2 linked regions of the Oreochromis niloticus genome follow. The protein of the gene in region 2 interacts with the protein of the main gene of each other region in a biochemical or structural test. Links are inferred from orthologs where the notes say so. Each region holds a gene or a part of one and is shown on either strand. Other genes may lie near its edges. The genes, in order: pax5 and transducin-like enhancer protein 4.

Region 1 (8,478 bases), on a different chromosome or scaffold from region 2:
GTAAGAATGTGGTGGAGTTGTGATAATCATTTGGAGGCAAATTGAACCCACTGTTGTTGTTTAGGAGTTCCCCCCTTTCACTCCTGCTCTCCCTTTTCCCTCTATCCGCCAAGAAGGCTTCGGCTGTTTTGCTTTTTTACGCCCGAGCCTCAAAACGAAAAAGCAATGAAAAATTAATAGCGCATGTTAACTCCACCAGCTCGTTTATTACACGCCCGCTGACTGTAAACATAATGAGAAAGCTCCCGTATCTCTTCTTAAGTTTTCATTTGCTTATAAAATATAAAAGTCATAACTAATAAATAAAATATATGGACTGAAGAGTGAACCGTCTTGGACTTCCCGGGGTGGAACTCGACCGTGTGCCGAGCAGGTAAATCACTGAGACCGCTTGTCCCACCCACAGGCCCGATCAGATGGTCCTATTTGTGATCATTTGGCTCTTTCATAATGCAAGTAAAGACCAGTCTGTCATCTGTCAGGTGGAATAGAAAGCCCTCATGGCCGTATATCAGCCTAGTTTCTCTACTATGATGGGGCACTTGAGGTCAAAGCAAAAGCAGGCTACGCCATGTGAGGTCATGGTTGTCTCCCTCCCCTCCCCTCCCTCACTCCCTTCTCTCTCTTACATTTTCATGATCAGATCCTGTACTCTGCACAGTTTAGTGAGCGTTTTGGTAACAACTTTTGTACGGTGGCGTGTCAGCTTTGACTTTTAGAAAACACAAATGCTGCAAATGAAGCTTGAATGGTCAGAGTAGTGCAGAGCAGTTCACGGGGTTTCCGGGACGCCTGCATAAAAACAGGCTGGTAGAGAATGACGCAGAAGAATACACGCAGAGAAACGATACCACTGAGTGGGTCATATTACTCTCAATACACCTGTATTTTACTGTGGACAGAAGACAGGCCAAGGGCAGCTAACATCATATACGATTGTTGAAAATGTCTTATAACACAGATAAATGCCACTTTTAAAATGTTTTATAAATAATTCACAGAAATAACAGCCACGCTAAATGGAAAGAATCGAGCCTTGCACTTTCACGCACTACCAGAAGCTTTTACTAGATTCACGTTCTTCCCCATTGATTCTCCTTTGCACTCCAAGCACGTATCTTAAAGTGAGAGGAAACATGGAGAGGCCGTAGGTACAGGCCCCGGGCCCAGAAGACTTTACACATCAGCATGGGAGGGGCCCTCCTTTAAACTCTGATTTCCTCAGTGGCTAAAAGGCTATCATCCAATTGCTACAAATCCCATCGTTTTCACCGTTTATCAGGGGCTAGGCCCACTCCACAAAAGACTGCAGAGGAGCCCTGGCTTGTCTTACAGAGCAGTGGCATCATCTGTAGAGAAATTTTCAAAGAAGGGTGACCCCAAGATAAAAAAAAAATTCTATTACAAGACAAAGTGCCATGCTCTCAAAAGTCCTCCTTGACGCAATATTGTGAAAATGAATGCGTAAAACAGCATTAACTGCAGTCTGAATCTCTATAAAAATGTTATTCAACAGCTGTCTTAAATCTGTGAGCGTACATTTCAATATTCTTACTAACAGGCAAAAGGAGGGGTCACGAAAGCAGATGTTGCTTTTCTGGAGGAAAAAAAAGCTGCGTGGAGCCCGTTCAAAGAGGCTGATCACCTACCCACAGTTTCTTAATGACAAACGACGTTTTTTCAATGCAGACACAGCGGGCAGCAATATGAAATGATGTGATATCCATTGGGTGCCATAACAAGGTCGATGGCCTGATCCATTGCTGTACCAGACCCCGCTGTTTTATGAATAGGCCTATAGGAGATTAACCTGTTGAATAAAATAATGGAGACACGAAGGAAAGAGTCGAGCTCGCATCTTTTAGAGAGTTGCATTTGACTGAAACGACCAGAGACGCCAACTTCTGTTTAACACACTAGAAAAACAAATAACATCTCACATGGCCACCCTCACAAGACGCATTTTACACATACATTTGTGAGACTTGGAGATACACAGCGACCACGATCTTGCGCAAATCCACGTTGCCTTTCAGTTCTAATCACCCACCCGGTACTAAGCTAACCCCATCAGGTGACTGACCAACACGTGGAGATGACCTGAAGCACAATGCCACCCAAACCCAGCAACCTCAGCCACTTTTACTTCTCTGCCAGCAAATGACGATAATAATAATTAATACAAAATAGCAAATAAACACCAAAACATATCTTTTAAAGAAGCAAAATTATAAACCGACAGCACTCAGGAACATTTTCTATCTTTTTTATCTCTTTAAATGAAGCCTAAAGAATTTCTAAAAGACAGATACACGAAGACTAAAAGTTTCTGCACTTGTCCAAAAAGTCACAAACTTGAGAGAAAACATTGCAACTAAAGCACATTTTACACTTCAAAGTTAGCACAAAAGATTACGGAGTGTTTCGTTGCAGAGATCAACTCCAGAAAACTTTTTTATAGTTTTTGTAATAGTTTTAATAACTTGGAACGGCTTTAAAGCAATTTTTTTTTTCAAAGAAACGTTTGTAAAAAGCTAAACTTTAACTTGTATTTAAAAGTTTTGTCGTAAATAAAAATTAAAAAGCAAGAAAAGCACGGGTTCACTAGATAAGTAGATGAGTTCTAGCTCTTGATGAGAGCAAAAATATAGCCAGAGTGAGCCGGTGCGACCCTACCTGCTCTTCCCAGCCGCAGCGCAGGACTCTTGGGCCCCTGGTCCATGTTACTCGGTTAGAACAGGGGGAGGCGATGGAGGGAGAAAAAAGGAAAAGATCAAAAACTTTTTTCCAGCGTCTCCCTCTCCTCCTCCTCTTTCTCTCTCTCTCTCTCTCACCCTCTCCCCCTCTCTCTCCCTTTCTGGGGCAGTTTTCTTCTCTCCCCCCTTTCTCTCTCTCCCCCTTTTTTTGTCCCCTACTTTTGGGGCGACTTGTAGGTTGAAATAATTCGACCCTTCCGCTCCCTATTGCACTCCCTGCAAGTGCTCAGTCAGCTGCAACTAAACGCTTTAGGTGGAAAAAAGGCTTCGGGGGGAAGCGTGAAATGATCACGCCGAGTAAAAGAGCCGCTTTCTCAATGTGCGCTCATGTCCTGTCCTTTTCCTGCACGAGCTTGCACACACAAATTCAATGAGAGTACGCGCTCACGTGCACACATTAACGTGCGCTCCGACGCACGCGCGCGGCCCTGCATACATAACACGCAACTTACAACCGCCACCCTTCCCTTCAGGGCCGCGCCCCCTCCCTCGCATCTGTTACCAAGTTCCACTTTACTAAACTTTCCCGCCCACACCCCACTCTCCCTCTCTCTCTTTCTCCCTTTCATGTTAGATTCATTTCCTCTGATACCTCTGATTCATTCCCGGTTGATTGCTATGCAGGTTGATAGGTAACATTACAGCGCCATGCGTAAAACTAGTGCGCTTTTTTTTTTCTTTCGTTTTACTTAGAAATAAGAAAACGTTGGTTCACAGGTGGATTTATGTTTAGAGTCCTTTCAGTGTCTCCCAAAAGAGTGCTCAAAGAAGTTTCTCCAACTTCTGTGCTCCTCTGCCGGTCTACACCTGTTACGCAGGATGCTCGTTACGCACGGACTCAGAGACTTTGGAGCAGGTGCAATACGTCGAGCTACAACTTCAGCTAACGTCACTGCTCTGCAGTTGGAGAGTGCAGTCTTCCCCTGCGTGCATCTCGTGAAAAGAGTTTGTTACAAAACGGATAGTTCTGGTCCTTAGTCTTGATTGTCAGACACACACCTGTAAGCGCGTTACATTTAATTTAAAAATTGATTTGCCAACTGAAAATTTCCACTCATACTGATACTCACCGCTTTCTTTGGGTTTCTTAGAGTGTCTAGTAAAACACTGACAATATAGATCTCCTGATTCAGTGTTCCTTTGTAGGCTTTTCGTGTTATTACGATCAGGTTTTGCTGTCGCTTTTCGCCAACAAATGCACTCCCCCCCCCGCTCCCCCATAAATTATTATAAATACATTTATTACATTTATTGATACATTTGCAACTTTTAAAATCAGACTGATATTAATCATAAGGCTGTGTAAATTATCACACTTGAAGACCAAAGTATCACTTTGAAGGAGCAATTTTAAAAGACTTTGGCAGCAGCGTGTTCAGTAAAATTTTCACCATGAGGGCATGAGGTAAAGCCGGAATGAGGGGCTGTCTTATGCAGCAAACAAACGCAATTCAATTATGCTTAAAAGAGGACTGATTCCAGGCGAAAACACGTGAAAACAGTAGTACAAACGAAAGTGAATTTACTGTAAAGGACAAACACACAACAGTCGTAACTTAAGATTTCACCGCCAGTTCCTACCGATCGTGACCATAAACAGGAATTAAGATTTAAGAGCGAAATTGAAGCAGTGGGTGTGTCTCTTTACTCGGTGTCTAACTTCTTCTTGCTTTCCTCCAGACAGCTGCGGGTCTCAGGGTTCACGCGCAGCCCCGAGACAATTGAGTGAGGAACAAAGCGCGAGACAGCGACCCATTTTGCTCTGCTTGTCGCCTCGCGCTGCAACACTACGACCCTGACCTTCGGCTCGCGCCCACAACATCAAAACATCAACATTAATGTTTCCCGTGTGGTGGCGAGAAAACAAAGAAGGAGGCTCTACTCTGACCTTCAGGCGGGGAAGCAGCCGCAGATAAATCAATTACAGACTTTTATGAGGAAAATATGAATTTATGCCGTGTTGGAATGGACTGTAGGCCACTTATGCGGGGAAAAGTTGGTCAACGGGATCTTTTGAACCCCCCCTTTGCACATCACACAGAGTGATTTGGTTAGTACTGCAGCCTGGTGTTGTCACTTTCCAGGCTAATGATGATTAGGCCTGCACACACTGACGTGGATTCTGTGTTTTGCCTGCAGGGGAAAGCTCTTGAATCCCCGGCAGAACTGTCTCATCCTTATCACTTCATGGACCCCCAAAAGTTGAATCTGTATGCAAGGCCACGGCTGCGGATTATTCACTACATTTCCTAAACGTGTGAGCTCGTGGAGAGAAAAATGTGCAATTATCTGCTATTGGGCTCTTTGAAGAAACCACACTATTGCATTCTGCTTGGTTTTAATTTGTGTGTTTTTTTCCCTAGTCTTTTCCAGAGACGCACATGAAGATAAAATGCACATTTTGCCACAATTATAATTTCAAACTACAAAACATAAAGCGGACACAATTTGAGGGAATCTGATTTTTAAATCAGATTTGACTGGTAATTAATCTTCACTGTAGTGCAGTGAAATGCAGAAACGTGTAACGATTTTTATTAATCGCTCGAGGCAGTACAATAATAATAATAATATATTATTATTGATGATGATGATGTTAATAACGAGCTATAAACATAAAAGAAAAAATTACTGTATACATAGTGTATATGTAAAATACATATATACATCACGCATTTTAAATATATTTATGTAACAATGTGCACATAATTATTTGGGCTGAGTTATATGTTGCCTGTATGAAATATTTTACATGCAACAGTTTTTTTTTACATTATTTATTTATTTTGTTATTTTTTATTGTTTGTATTTCAAACATTTAGACCAGAAATAGTTTTTCTAAAATCCCTAAAATCCCATTTTTTAATAAATGAATGTATTTCTTTTTTGCAGTCTTTCATGTTTCTCTCCACTTTTTTTATTTGTTTTTTTGTTCTTTGCTTTTTGGTTGTTGTTGTTTTTTGGCCTGCAGGACGTCTTCGAAGAACTCTCCACAGTTTAGATATTAATCATCACTTGTTTGTTTTTCACCCCCGTACTAATTAATGTAATTAATATGAGGGGGGAGTAGCTGGATCGGTGACCCGAGCTCTGACCGAGCGGAACCGGAAAGAATCGCATTAAAGCGCGAGATAGAAGAACTAAAGGGACGATTAGAACAATAAGTAAACACGTAAACACAGGAGGAAATGCTCCTCGTCTCTGTGGGACTTTTGGCTTTCACCAGACCGGTTAAATTTAGTGTAAACTACACGGAAAAGACAAAGGCCTGCAGTTCTGTGGGGTTTCATTATGTCTGTGCAAAATTACACATGCATCTGTGTTATCTGTGGAAGTTCACAAGTTGTGTGTTAAAGGTCCTTCAAAATTTCACTTAGATGCAGGCTATGCAAATTAGATATCGACATGATTTACTTTTAACTATTAAAAGTGAAGGCAGGACATTTGGACAATGACAATTTAATTTGATTATGCTGTATTTAAATGGAGATCCAACTATACACAGCTTTTAATGCTATGCCTGGAGCGAATGTGAACCACTGTAATGCTGGGTTTAATTTATATTTAATAATAATAAACTTGTATATCAGGTAAAGGTGAAGCAATACACTTTACTGCATTTCCCATCAACTGTAGCAGAGAGGAAGGCATCAGAAATAGAAAGTAGAAGTACCTTAAAATGTACTCAAGTGTTCATTAAAATATTTTGTCTAACTTTAGAGTGAACTACATTTACATTTCAAAAGAAAATTCAACAAGACACACCTAACTTTACCTGATAATGATGTTTTGTTTGCTACCTAAATGTTATTCTTCAGTCCAAAGCCTCACATTCAAATCAGCACTGTATTTTTTCATATTTAAAAATGAAAGGGACAGAACTATTTAAAAGCCTACTTATATCTTATATACTTCTTCATTTTACAAAAAAGAAAAAAATTAAAAATTGTGGTTTTCCTGCTTTTTATATTTGTTAATCCTTCCTTAAATTCTGGAGTATTCAGTAACTTTTGTTTTTCAGCAATGTTATATGAATAAGTCTCACTCAGGGTTTCTAACTTAAAGTGTATCAGGTATGGCTTAAAAAAATACTCCCTCTGATCCACTTATATGTTACATTTCTTTACAGTAAATCAGAGAAACCTAATACCGACAGTCTTGAAAAAAAAAAACAACTTACCTCTGGTGCTCATTGTTTTCCTAGAAATACTCAGAGCCACAGTGCTGATTGAGCTTACCTCTGTATCCCTGGGATTTAATTCAGAGTGGCACTTCACTGTGGCGACACAAGGTTCCCTTTCTGCGGCCATGGTGCCTGGGTGTTGTTGTGGCTATAGAGGCTAGAAAGGGGGCTTAAGGGCTGCAGGGCGGATTGAGAAATGGGACACATTATTTGTCCATGAAACATTATGTGACACAACATGACACCAGGCCATTTGTATGTAAAGGTAAACATTTCAGCGTGACAATTCGACAAGAGCGGACAAGGCTCCTGTCAATGTGGTTTTATACTTGCAGCTGAGAAAGAGGTGTTGTGGCATCGTGTGGTGATGAAGTGTGTATGTGGGACTTTGTGTGTGTGTGTAGAGCTTGTGTTCACAAATTTAATCCCCATAGACACAAGTCACTTGGTCTGGCCTGAGAAGGTGTTGTCAGGCTTGCTCTCTCGTTTTTTTTTTCCTATTGAAAGCATGGACAGACTGTTGATCACAGAGCTTCACAAAAACAGTTTCCTCTGGGTGTGCACACAAGCGTGTGTGTGTTTCACCTGTACTTGACATGCATTCAATATGATAAAAGATCATCGTCAGAGAATCGTAATAATGCAGGTTAGATTTTAAGCAGCAACCTAAAACACATAAACCCTAAAGCATCCCGGTGGCATTGCTCTGGATCTTGATGGCTTGTTGTCTCTTAAATTAAGAGATAGTTTAGTTGTGAGCCCTGATCAGATGCATTGTACTTTCTGGTGTCAACAGAGTGTCCAGTCACTGTGTTCAGTATTGTAAAACAACTCATTTTAAATGAATTTAGCATCATATCATGAAGTACTTTAAGTGTCAGGTTTGTCATTTCATCCATATGGCCCAGGCATAATATGAGGTCATTTGTGGCTGATCTGTGTTACAAATTCCATGTCTGAAGAGAGGTTTGGAGATCAAGCTTGCTAAACTTTGAGTAGAACTGAGAAAACAAAGAAATATTCTCTTACATGGTACAAAATTACAAGCAATACCCCAGTGACGAGTTATCATTCCCCTCTGGTTGTGCTTTATCATTTGTTCCTTCCTGCCTGTGAGCTTTGCCACTGATTAGTACATGCTCTACTTGGCATATTAACTCCAGAATCTACTGAATCTCTCTAATACACCACCAGTTTCTTATCCCGCAAAGCTATTTGATGCTGCAGTGTCTCTTAGAATTAATGAGAATGTAACACCTGCGTTAATGTGACCAAAAAGATCAAACCTTGACTGAGGTGACAGATACGATAGACTGCATGCGATGCAGTGAAAAAAAACCCAGTGATGATGGGGCTTATACATTCTGCATATCCAGAATATGTGAATGACTTCAGCACTGAGGGCCCCATATGGGTGATGCACGGGAGCCATTTTTGTTCAGAAGCGCTGATCCAGGGAGAGCCTTTTTTTTTTTAAGGGAATTCCTTCTGCCCGGCTGCTTCGATACAGACCGGACGGTTGAATTTACATATATACAG
Region 2 (8,211 bases):
CTTGCACTATACTGAGCCTGCAAGTCACTGCATCCTGCCACTTTAAATTTGCATTTCTAAATATGAGAGCTACAAAAGAAAGACAAATAAGTTGTTTGGATCGCAGCTATTTCCTCTGCAGACACAGGCACTTACTCAGCAGGTGTAGTGCAGTAATTAATGGATCAATGGACAACCACACAAACCTCATCATATATTCTTATAGTGCGAGTAAAAGCCTAAACTGCAACATCAACAAAAAAAGCAACCATAACATTAGGATCCATTTTGCGAAAAAGCTTAACTCTTTTGTGTCTGCCAGTGTATCGCTCCTCATAAAGTTTTTGTGCATCTTTTAAGAAGGAACTCATCAGGTTTATATCATCATCAAAACCTTTGCGTGTACACTTCAAATACAGCGATGTAAAACATGACAAAAACTGAGAAAATTCAATATTTACTTAAATATAAATGCTAAAATCAGCTGAAAATCTGGGGCTTTAAATGTTTAATACCTCAACTTTATTTAAGTTAGATGATGACGGTGCCCTCGTCTTTTTTTGTACTCTAAGGTTGGGGAATATTCTCAAACAGATTCATGGTTTTAGTAAGGTCTATAACATGTTTACTTTTCTTCTAAATAAGAACTACTGTAATAATAAATACTAATAAATTCGTCCTTAAAAGAAATGAAACATGTGGCACCACAGTAATTCTTATTGTAGCGTATTCCCAGAGTGTCTGACTCACTGCTATTTAAAAAAATAAATAAATAAAATCTGATCAGCGCCACCCTCGTTTTGGATTTCACTGGAACGAAAGAGTTTGATCTGTGCGGCTGTAGCATTAAGCATGCAGCGCACCATTCAGCCTGTTCAGCCTCAGGACTGGCCAACAAACTGGACCACTGGTTCATCTCACCAGGTGATTGGTAATAATTATGAGGTGGCCAGAAGTGGGTGATTATTATGCATTGGTATTGTGCCTGTGGTTCAGCCCTGAGCAATGTATTTCACACTTCATCATGTCAGGTAAAAAAGTATTTCACACCACTTGCACTTGCAGAGAGAGAGAGAGTGAGAGACGTGCATGCAAAGGTCGATGGGGGTTTACCTGTGGTTAGTCACTAGTAACAGATGGACCTTAGACAAATACAGGCTACCACCGTTTTAGCTGCATATTGTGCATTTGAGAGGAATAGCAATATAACATCCCTGAATATAGATGTCAAACTCAGCATACTGTATTTCTTAATCGAAACTTAAATAAAAAAATACATTCTGTCTTGTATTTCATGTTATTGCATCACACATTTCCCTAATAATTTGGTCATACTTCATGAGTCATACATGACTAGTACACAGCAGCACAGAACTCGACCATTTCTTTAACATTATCTCGGGTTTTTCGGTTTACAGTGTGAGTCAATCCACAGTCAATCAATCAATTCTTTTTGATTTATTATTTCTCTAATACAGTGTTAGCATTTTCTGTGTGTGGATGGGGGGTGGGGGGGTCACTAGTATAAGCTCCAGATATCCAAGGTGACTTAGGAAAACTGGTTTCAACTGACCAAAAGTGCAAGAACCAAAAGGTAATTAAGAAGAAAAAAATATTATAGGTAACATTTAATAATATAAAACCAAACGTATTAATTAATTAATTAATTGTGCATTTTACATGTAAACATTTTTTAACATTTATTTTTTTTTAATTCCTGCTATTAAAGTGATTAATTAACCCACTAATTACTTCTAATGTGCACCCAGAACAACAGGGATCAAATTCGCAATCGCTTCTATTGTGGGGAATGCAGAACGGTTTCTAAGTTTATTGCCGTTCTGGCTGATGAGCTGATGTTTCCATGCAGCCCAAATGTCATGCTCGTATCCGAAATCCTACCTGTGATACTGCGCCTGCAGGAACTGGAACTCCTCCTTGATCCGGTCGCAGGACTCGGTGACAGTGAACTTGAACGGCTGTCCCGGCTGATGAGGGACCTCAATCCAAAGCAAACAGCGTGCGAAGGAAGAAAGGAAGAACTGAGCCACCAAAGTTCAGCGTCACGACACACACACAGGCAGGACTGTAGCTGACAATAGGCCTCTGTGATAAGGATGGCCTTTTTGGTTTCACTCAGTCTCCTTACACGTTAACTCACGCACACTCAGAGACACACATGCAGCTGTGGCAGTTTGACAATGAGCGCAATTGTCCGTGAGAGCGCGCAGTGGCACGGAAACTTGATCTAAACTGATTACGCATCAGGCGCGACTGTTAATCTGCGCTGTTTTGACACACTGCTCTTACCGCTACTGTTCTGTACTTACCGGATGCCGCGCCGGGGGGTACATCTTGCTCAGATCTCGAATCATTGAAAATGTATTGCAGTGTTCATCCAGAAAAACACGAAAACAAAGTGTGTGAGAACAGAGCTTTCTCCGTGCGTAAAAAGTCAGTCAGTGGCTGGTTTGCGGGCTAAATGCAGGTTCCGCGAAGAGTGGAGACATCCTCGGACCTTTGGCTGACCAAAGACAGCAAGACAGTAATTCAAAAGTCCATTCAGCGTAATAGTAAAGGCAAAAATTGTCCCAGTCTTTTCCAAAATCTTCAGCACCTTATTCTAAGCGCTTAACGTTCTCCTTCTGAACTAACAACAAATCCTCTATTTTCTCAGATTTCTCACAGAAAACATTAAAATCTCGCACACCATGACCCTACTTGTCTGCGAGTACGCTTCTCCACAGCGTCCCGTTGTCACGCGTTCATTGGTTTATTTCCTACAGTCTCCGTTAAAGGTTTGCATCCTCATTCAGCACCGGCCGACCGACCACCTCTCCGACTACAGCAGCCTGCCTCTGCGACGCCAAATTTAGAAGCAACCAGTCGTACGAGCTCAATTACATATTCACTACAATTACAAGGACCCGTAGCACGACGTCGGGACGTGTAGTTTAATTCATATTAGTCGATAATAAGCCCTACAGATGCGCGTCTGCTGTAAAGAACTACAACTTCCCAGCTCCTTCGCGAAACCCCCAAAGCCAATGATGTGTGGTCCGAGGGAGGAGCGGCCATTAAAGCCAGCCAATAGCGAAAGAAAACTATACACGCTCCGTTGCACCCCCCTGCCAATCATCTATAAGCTATCCAATCACATCCAGCAAGACGCGATTTATGCAGACCCCCACGTGGGGGCTGCTCTGGTACAAAAGGATGTCACAGGGATTAATCTGAAAACTATCTGTTGACTTATATGTTCTTTTTTTTCTTTTTTTTTTCCAGACTTCGGGGCAGAAGCGAACATATGGCCCCTTGGTCTCATGTTTTTTTCCCGTTTCCTAATTGAATCACCTATTAAACAGTCTGCTATCATGTCCGCAGATTGCACCTATAACCCTGCAATTAAATTCTCATGCAGCCCCCTCATCTCTCACTTCACATTATGTAAATCATACAGAGGGTGGACAAATAAAAAACTGATTATGTTAGAGCCACAAAGGTGGCATCAATATCAGGCTGGATGTCAATTAGCGCTTCAGCCCGTTCTATTTATTCATGTCTAGTTGGAAAAACATTTACATGAATTTCTAATTTTACATTTTTTCTTTTAAATTAAGGTTTTAACTACATAATAACAATCTGGTTGGTTATGGTGGTGCTGTTTTTTTTAACTTCTTCTGCATTTAAACATTTAACAAATTTTAGAAATCCCTCAGATCTCAACTTGAAAAGTGAGTAGCATCTATGACTGCCAGTTAAAATATACCGCAGGCAAACGAAATCTGGTGAAGTGAAATTATGATGTCAGCACTTTATGTACTTGAGTTGCCTTTGGCTTCTGATTATGGCTGGAAAATGCTGCTAATACACATTTAGGCTCCCACCATTCTTTCGTTTTCTCAGTCTCTTTTATGTGATCTCATGTCTCAGACAAATTCCTAATCCTAAATGCTAATCCTGCTGTTCATATTTCAGCATACACTCTAACATACAGCACACATGTGACATTATCCTTTTCTTATATGTACAAGCAGACTGAATGCATTTTATGTATTCCATACGTGTGCGCTGCTCAGATAAATGCCGCCTAAAAGAGCTTGAATCATTTGCCTAATTTGTCTGCCCTTTAAGTAGTACAACCCAAATGGAACACCTCTTGCTAAGTAAATTGAAATATTATGACTAAGACTCTGTTTCTCACACACATACATACACACACACACACGCAGAGTTGACACCATTCATTTTGAGCGAACAAGTGCATATAGTCTGTCAGCCTGCATTTGTGGCTGTGAGAAGATGTTCAGTGTGGGTAGATGAAACACACTGTTGCTGGGTCAGCAGCTCTCTTCACTGCTGCCTTCGGTCATTTAGCAGAACTAACTGACTGTGTCCAGAAATCTTAATCATTTTGTGCTGCATTACACTTTATATTTCATGTCTCTTTCTCTGAATTTATCATAACCCATTAAAGCTATTTAGGATCACATTTGTTATAATGTGTGTGTCTGCCTCACACGACACAATAAAATACATTTCAGTGTTTCAGTAGTAAATGTTGTAATGTTACTTCTATGATTAATAATAATATTTGTTCAAACATACTAACAGGTGTATGAATTATAATCCACAATGTGACACCACATCAATCCACTTTCCTTGTCAGTCTGCTTCTGTCTTGTCTGTTGTCTCTGCCTCTCCCTCAAACATACATGGGATTGTGCGCACACACACACACACACACACACACACACACACACACATTGCCTCACCCATTCAAATACACATCTCTATCTACCACACATACAAACTAATATCTCAGGTAAGCACAGAGCCTAAAGTGACCTGCTGTCGCGGTGCGTGAATCCACCAAGGCTGTGAAAAGGTAATATCATGCCCTCCCTCTTTTCTCCTCCAAGGGTTGAGCCATGATGTAGACGAGCAGAGGAGGTGCAGAGGTGAGGGAGGGGGGCAGGTGAGGAGGAATAAACAGATTTATTTGCCTGTGCCCCTCTCTGATTATTTTGCCCCTGCCTTTTGTTCCAGACCTTATGAAACCCAAATGTCAAGTGAGGCGAGGGCCTCATATCGAGTCCTGTCAATCACGACCCTCTGCGCACCTGAAGCTCTGACGCCGGATTATTGGCTTCAACACAAGGGCTGCCTATGCCGCCAGGCACGATGCCTCAGACGATTCGACAGCCAAGGCTCTTTTTTTTTTTTCTAAAGAGGAACTTCATTTGGCAGCTGATGCACAGGAGATTGCACAGGAGCGGATTTTGAGCGTAGATGGGTAGCAAGCTGGATGCTGGATGTCTGTGTGTGTATGGAGAGTGGCTTATACAGGGAGGGGGGATTAAGGGGGAGGCTTGACATGGTCTGTGGTGGGGAGTGGGTGGCAAGGAAACCCGAGCTTAACATCTTGCTCAGTGCACTGATCCCAACTAGATATCAGTACCTGTACATATGTCCCTCCCTCCTTCTCACTGTTACACACACGCAGATGCACACACATCACTGCCTACTGCTTCTGCTTATCTTTAATATTATACTCCCTCACTATTACTTTTCAACACCGTGCTCTCACAAATACAGACCACTGGTCGAGGATAGCATACCCTTGTTTAGCTTTCCATGCAGCATATAAAGACTAGATGAGATCTTTGTGTACACTCAGAAAATAAAGTATCTTCCACTACATTTGGGAATATACCAGCTGATCACCATAGCTTTACCCTCTAAAGTACCACCATTGTAAGCTTGTAGTTTGTGCCTTAAGGAGACCAGTCTTTTATGTCAGGGTACAAAAACAGAACGTTTAAAAAAGGTGCATCTTTAATTTTATACTTCCTCGGGGTGATCCATCAATAAGCCTGACACGGTTGTCCATGAAATTATTGTAGACAAATAATAACTAATTAAGGTGGTTGCCTGTGTGAGGAAGCCAGAGAAAACTAAACAGGCACAAATAGAACAAAACTCAATACAAGATACAAGAAAGATACAGAATGGCAAATGTAAGAATTTATTGAATGCTTTTAATTTAACTTAAAGAAACAGGAAAATCTTCCTGTAGGGACAGAAATTGGTTTTCACTTTACTGCTATTTACGTTTAATAATGTGTGCCACATCAACTTTAAATGGTGCAGAAGGTGTCGTTTAGGCGAGACTCCTCAGCAAGCGCATTAAAAACCAATTATCAGTCAGGCTACATCGATTGCTGTAAACTCCACATAACATGGCAGCACCAGCATGGGCTCATTATGATAGCTGCTTCAGTGTGTTTCACTGGACACCAAAGTTCTGTGCAACTGCTAAAACACAAAAGAAAATAGGGGCTTATTTTAGTGCTCATAAACAAAAGCTTAATAGACTATCTCCTAACTATTTATCTGGTTTGTTCATTAGTATGCTCCTTTTAGATTTGCAAGAACTTGTCATTTTGGTCTCTAAATGTTCCCCTGAGAAGTTTTGATTTAACTTCATGTTTTTCTATTATATTTGTATTTCGTTTTTTATTCTTATGTCCTGTTTGTTACTTTTTTTGCAATTTTATTTGTTTTACAAACTGAAAAAGCTGACACAAAGCCTCTGGCTGTGTTCAGTGGTCACCTGAGTGGCACTGAGAGTCAGTGTTATTAGGCGGTGACAACTCAAGAACAACAATAGATCCCTGCACACTCTGCGATGTATCATCCCACAATATACTAAAGAAGTTGTTGACTTTTAGTTAGTACTTTTATTCCTAACTTGTTTGGTTAACATTATGGATATGAAAATAGAAAATGAATCAGGAAGAGCAGAAGATTTGTAAGGAGTAAGTGAAGGCAGTTATGAAGAGACTAAAGAGTTGAAAGGAAGTTGGTTTAGGATGACATACCTGTGGAGATATGGAGATGTCTAGGAGAGAGGAATTTTTGACCAGATTGTTTAGTGCAGTCTTGGAGAGTGGGAGGATGTCTGAGGAAGAAGAGTACTGGTACCAATTTTCAAAATCAAGCTTTATCCCTCGTTAGTAACTACAGATGGAGAAGTACAGAGAAGGTCAGAAGGAGTTACTCTGTCTCTCTGTGGATCTAGAGCGCACATGATAGAGTGCCAAGAGAAGAACTGTGGTACTGCATGAGGATGTCAAGAGGGCAGAAAAGTATGTGAGGTTGGTGCAGTAGATGTATGAGGACAGCGAGACAGTGGTGATGTGTGTGATAGAAGTGACAGATGTATTCAAGGTGGGGGTGGGATTACATCAGGGATCTGCTCTGAGCCCCTTCTTGTTGGCTGTGATGATGGACAAATTGGCTGATGAGGTCAGGCAGGGGTCTGTGGAGTATGATGTTGGCAGGTGACATTGTGATCTGTAGTGAGAGTAGGGAGCAAGTGGAAGATGGGAGCCATGGCAGGTGGAGGAATCTGCTGGAGAGAAGAGGAATGAAAATCAGCAGAGGAAAGACAGCGTGTGAATGTATGTGAGTGAGAGGAAGGCAAGTTTACTCGTGAAGATCCAAAGAGCAGAGATAGTGAAGGTGGATGAATTTAAATAAATACCAGGGGTCAACATTATAACCATCCAAAGCAACAGACAGGGCACAAGAGAGGAGAAGAAGTGAGTCCAGGCAGGCAGTACTGACCAGAGATGGTAATCTGATTACTTTTTCAAGTAACGAGTAATGTAAGGGATTTATATTGCAAAAACGGTAATTAGATTACCGTTACTTTCACGTAGGAACGCTGCGTTACTGCGTTACTAAAACCGTGAATTTTTGCAAGAATGTCTCATGACAGTGACGTAAGCGAGTGCGACGTTTGTGACAACAGCTGTGTGCAGTTCAACAATGGATAATATATGGAGTGCGGAGAGAGTATGAGCGTGCAGCGTTTAAAGCGTGGAAGTACTGACCTTACTTTGAGTTTGATTCCATAAAAAGTGACAAAAACATTAGTGTCCGTTGTGCGTGGGAAGAAAACTTCTTTTTACAGCAAAAAACCCCTAAACTTCCAAGCAAGCACCGAGTGCGCTACGACGTAATGTGAAATTCACAGAGAAACTCGCGGATTCTTCCACTGACCGCTGCGGCACACCTGCACCAGGGTAAACCTCCGCCTACCCCAGTCCTGCTTTACAGGTGAAAATAGAGCAACAGGACCGCTAGTCTTTGATTTTATTTATTTTCTGCTGTGTTTTACTTGCATCTATTTGAAAGAGTGAGTGTAAACACAAAAAAATATTT

The links.
Region 1: the proteins of transducin-like enhancer protein 4 (region 2) and pax5 form a complex in vitro, tested with the Homo sapiens proteins (2 studies listed by BioGRID). The link is inferred for Oreochromis niloticus from reciprocal best matches to the Homo sapiens genes TLE4 and PAX5.

Annotation. Positions count from the first base shown.
Region 1 is NC_031971.2:22,416,755-22,425,232, reverse strand, and holds the start of pax5 (paired box protein Pax-5), read right to left. Parts: upstream 3,230-8,478; 5' UTR 2,723-3,229; coding exon 2,677-2,722; intron 1-2,676. UniProt on the Homo sapiens protein: Transcription factor that plays an essential role in commitment of lymphoid progenitors to the B-lymphocyte lineage. Fulfills a dual role by repressing B-lineage inappropriate genes and simultaneously activating B-lineage-specific genes.
Region 2 is NC_031977.2:27,218,049-27,226,259, reverse strand, and holds the start of transducin-like enhancer protein 4, read right to left. Parts: upstream 3,106-8,211; 5' UTR 2,701-3,105; exon of another isoform or gene 2,504-2,700; 5' UTR 2,355-2,503; coding exon 2,310-2,354; intron 1,980-2,309; coding exon 1,882-1,979; intron 1-1,881. UniProt on the Homo sapiens protein: Transcriptional corepressor that binds to a number of transcription factors. Inhibits the transcriptional activation mediated by PAX5, and by CTNNB1 and TCF family members in Wnt signaling.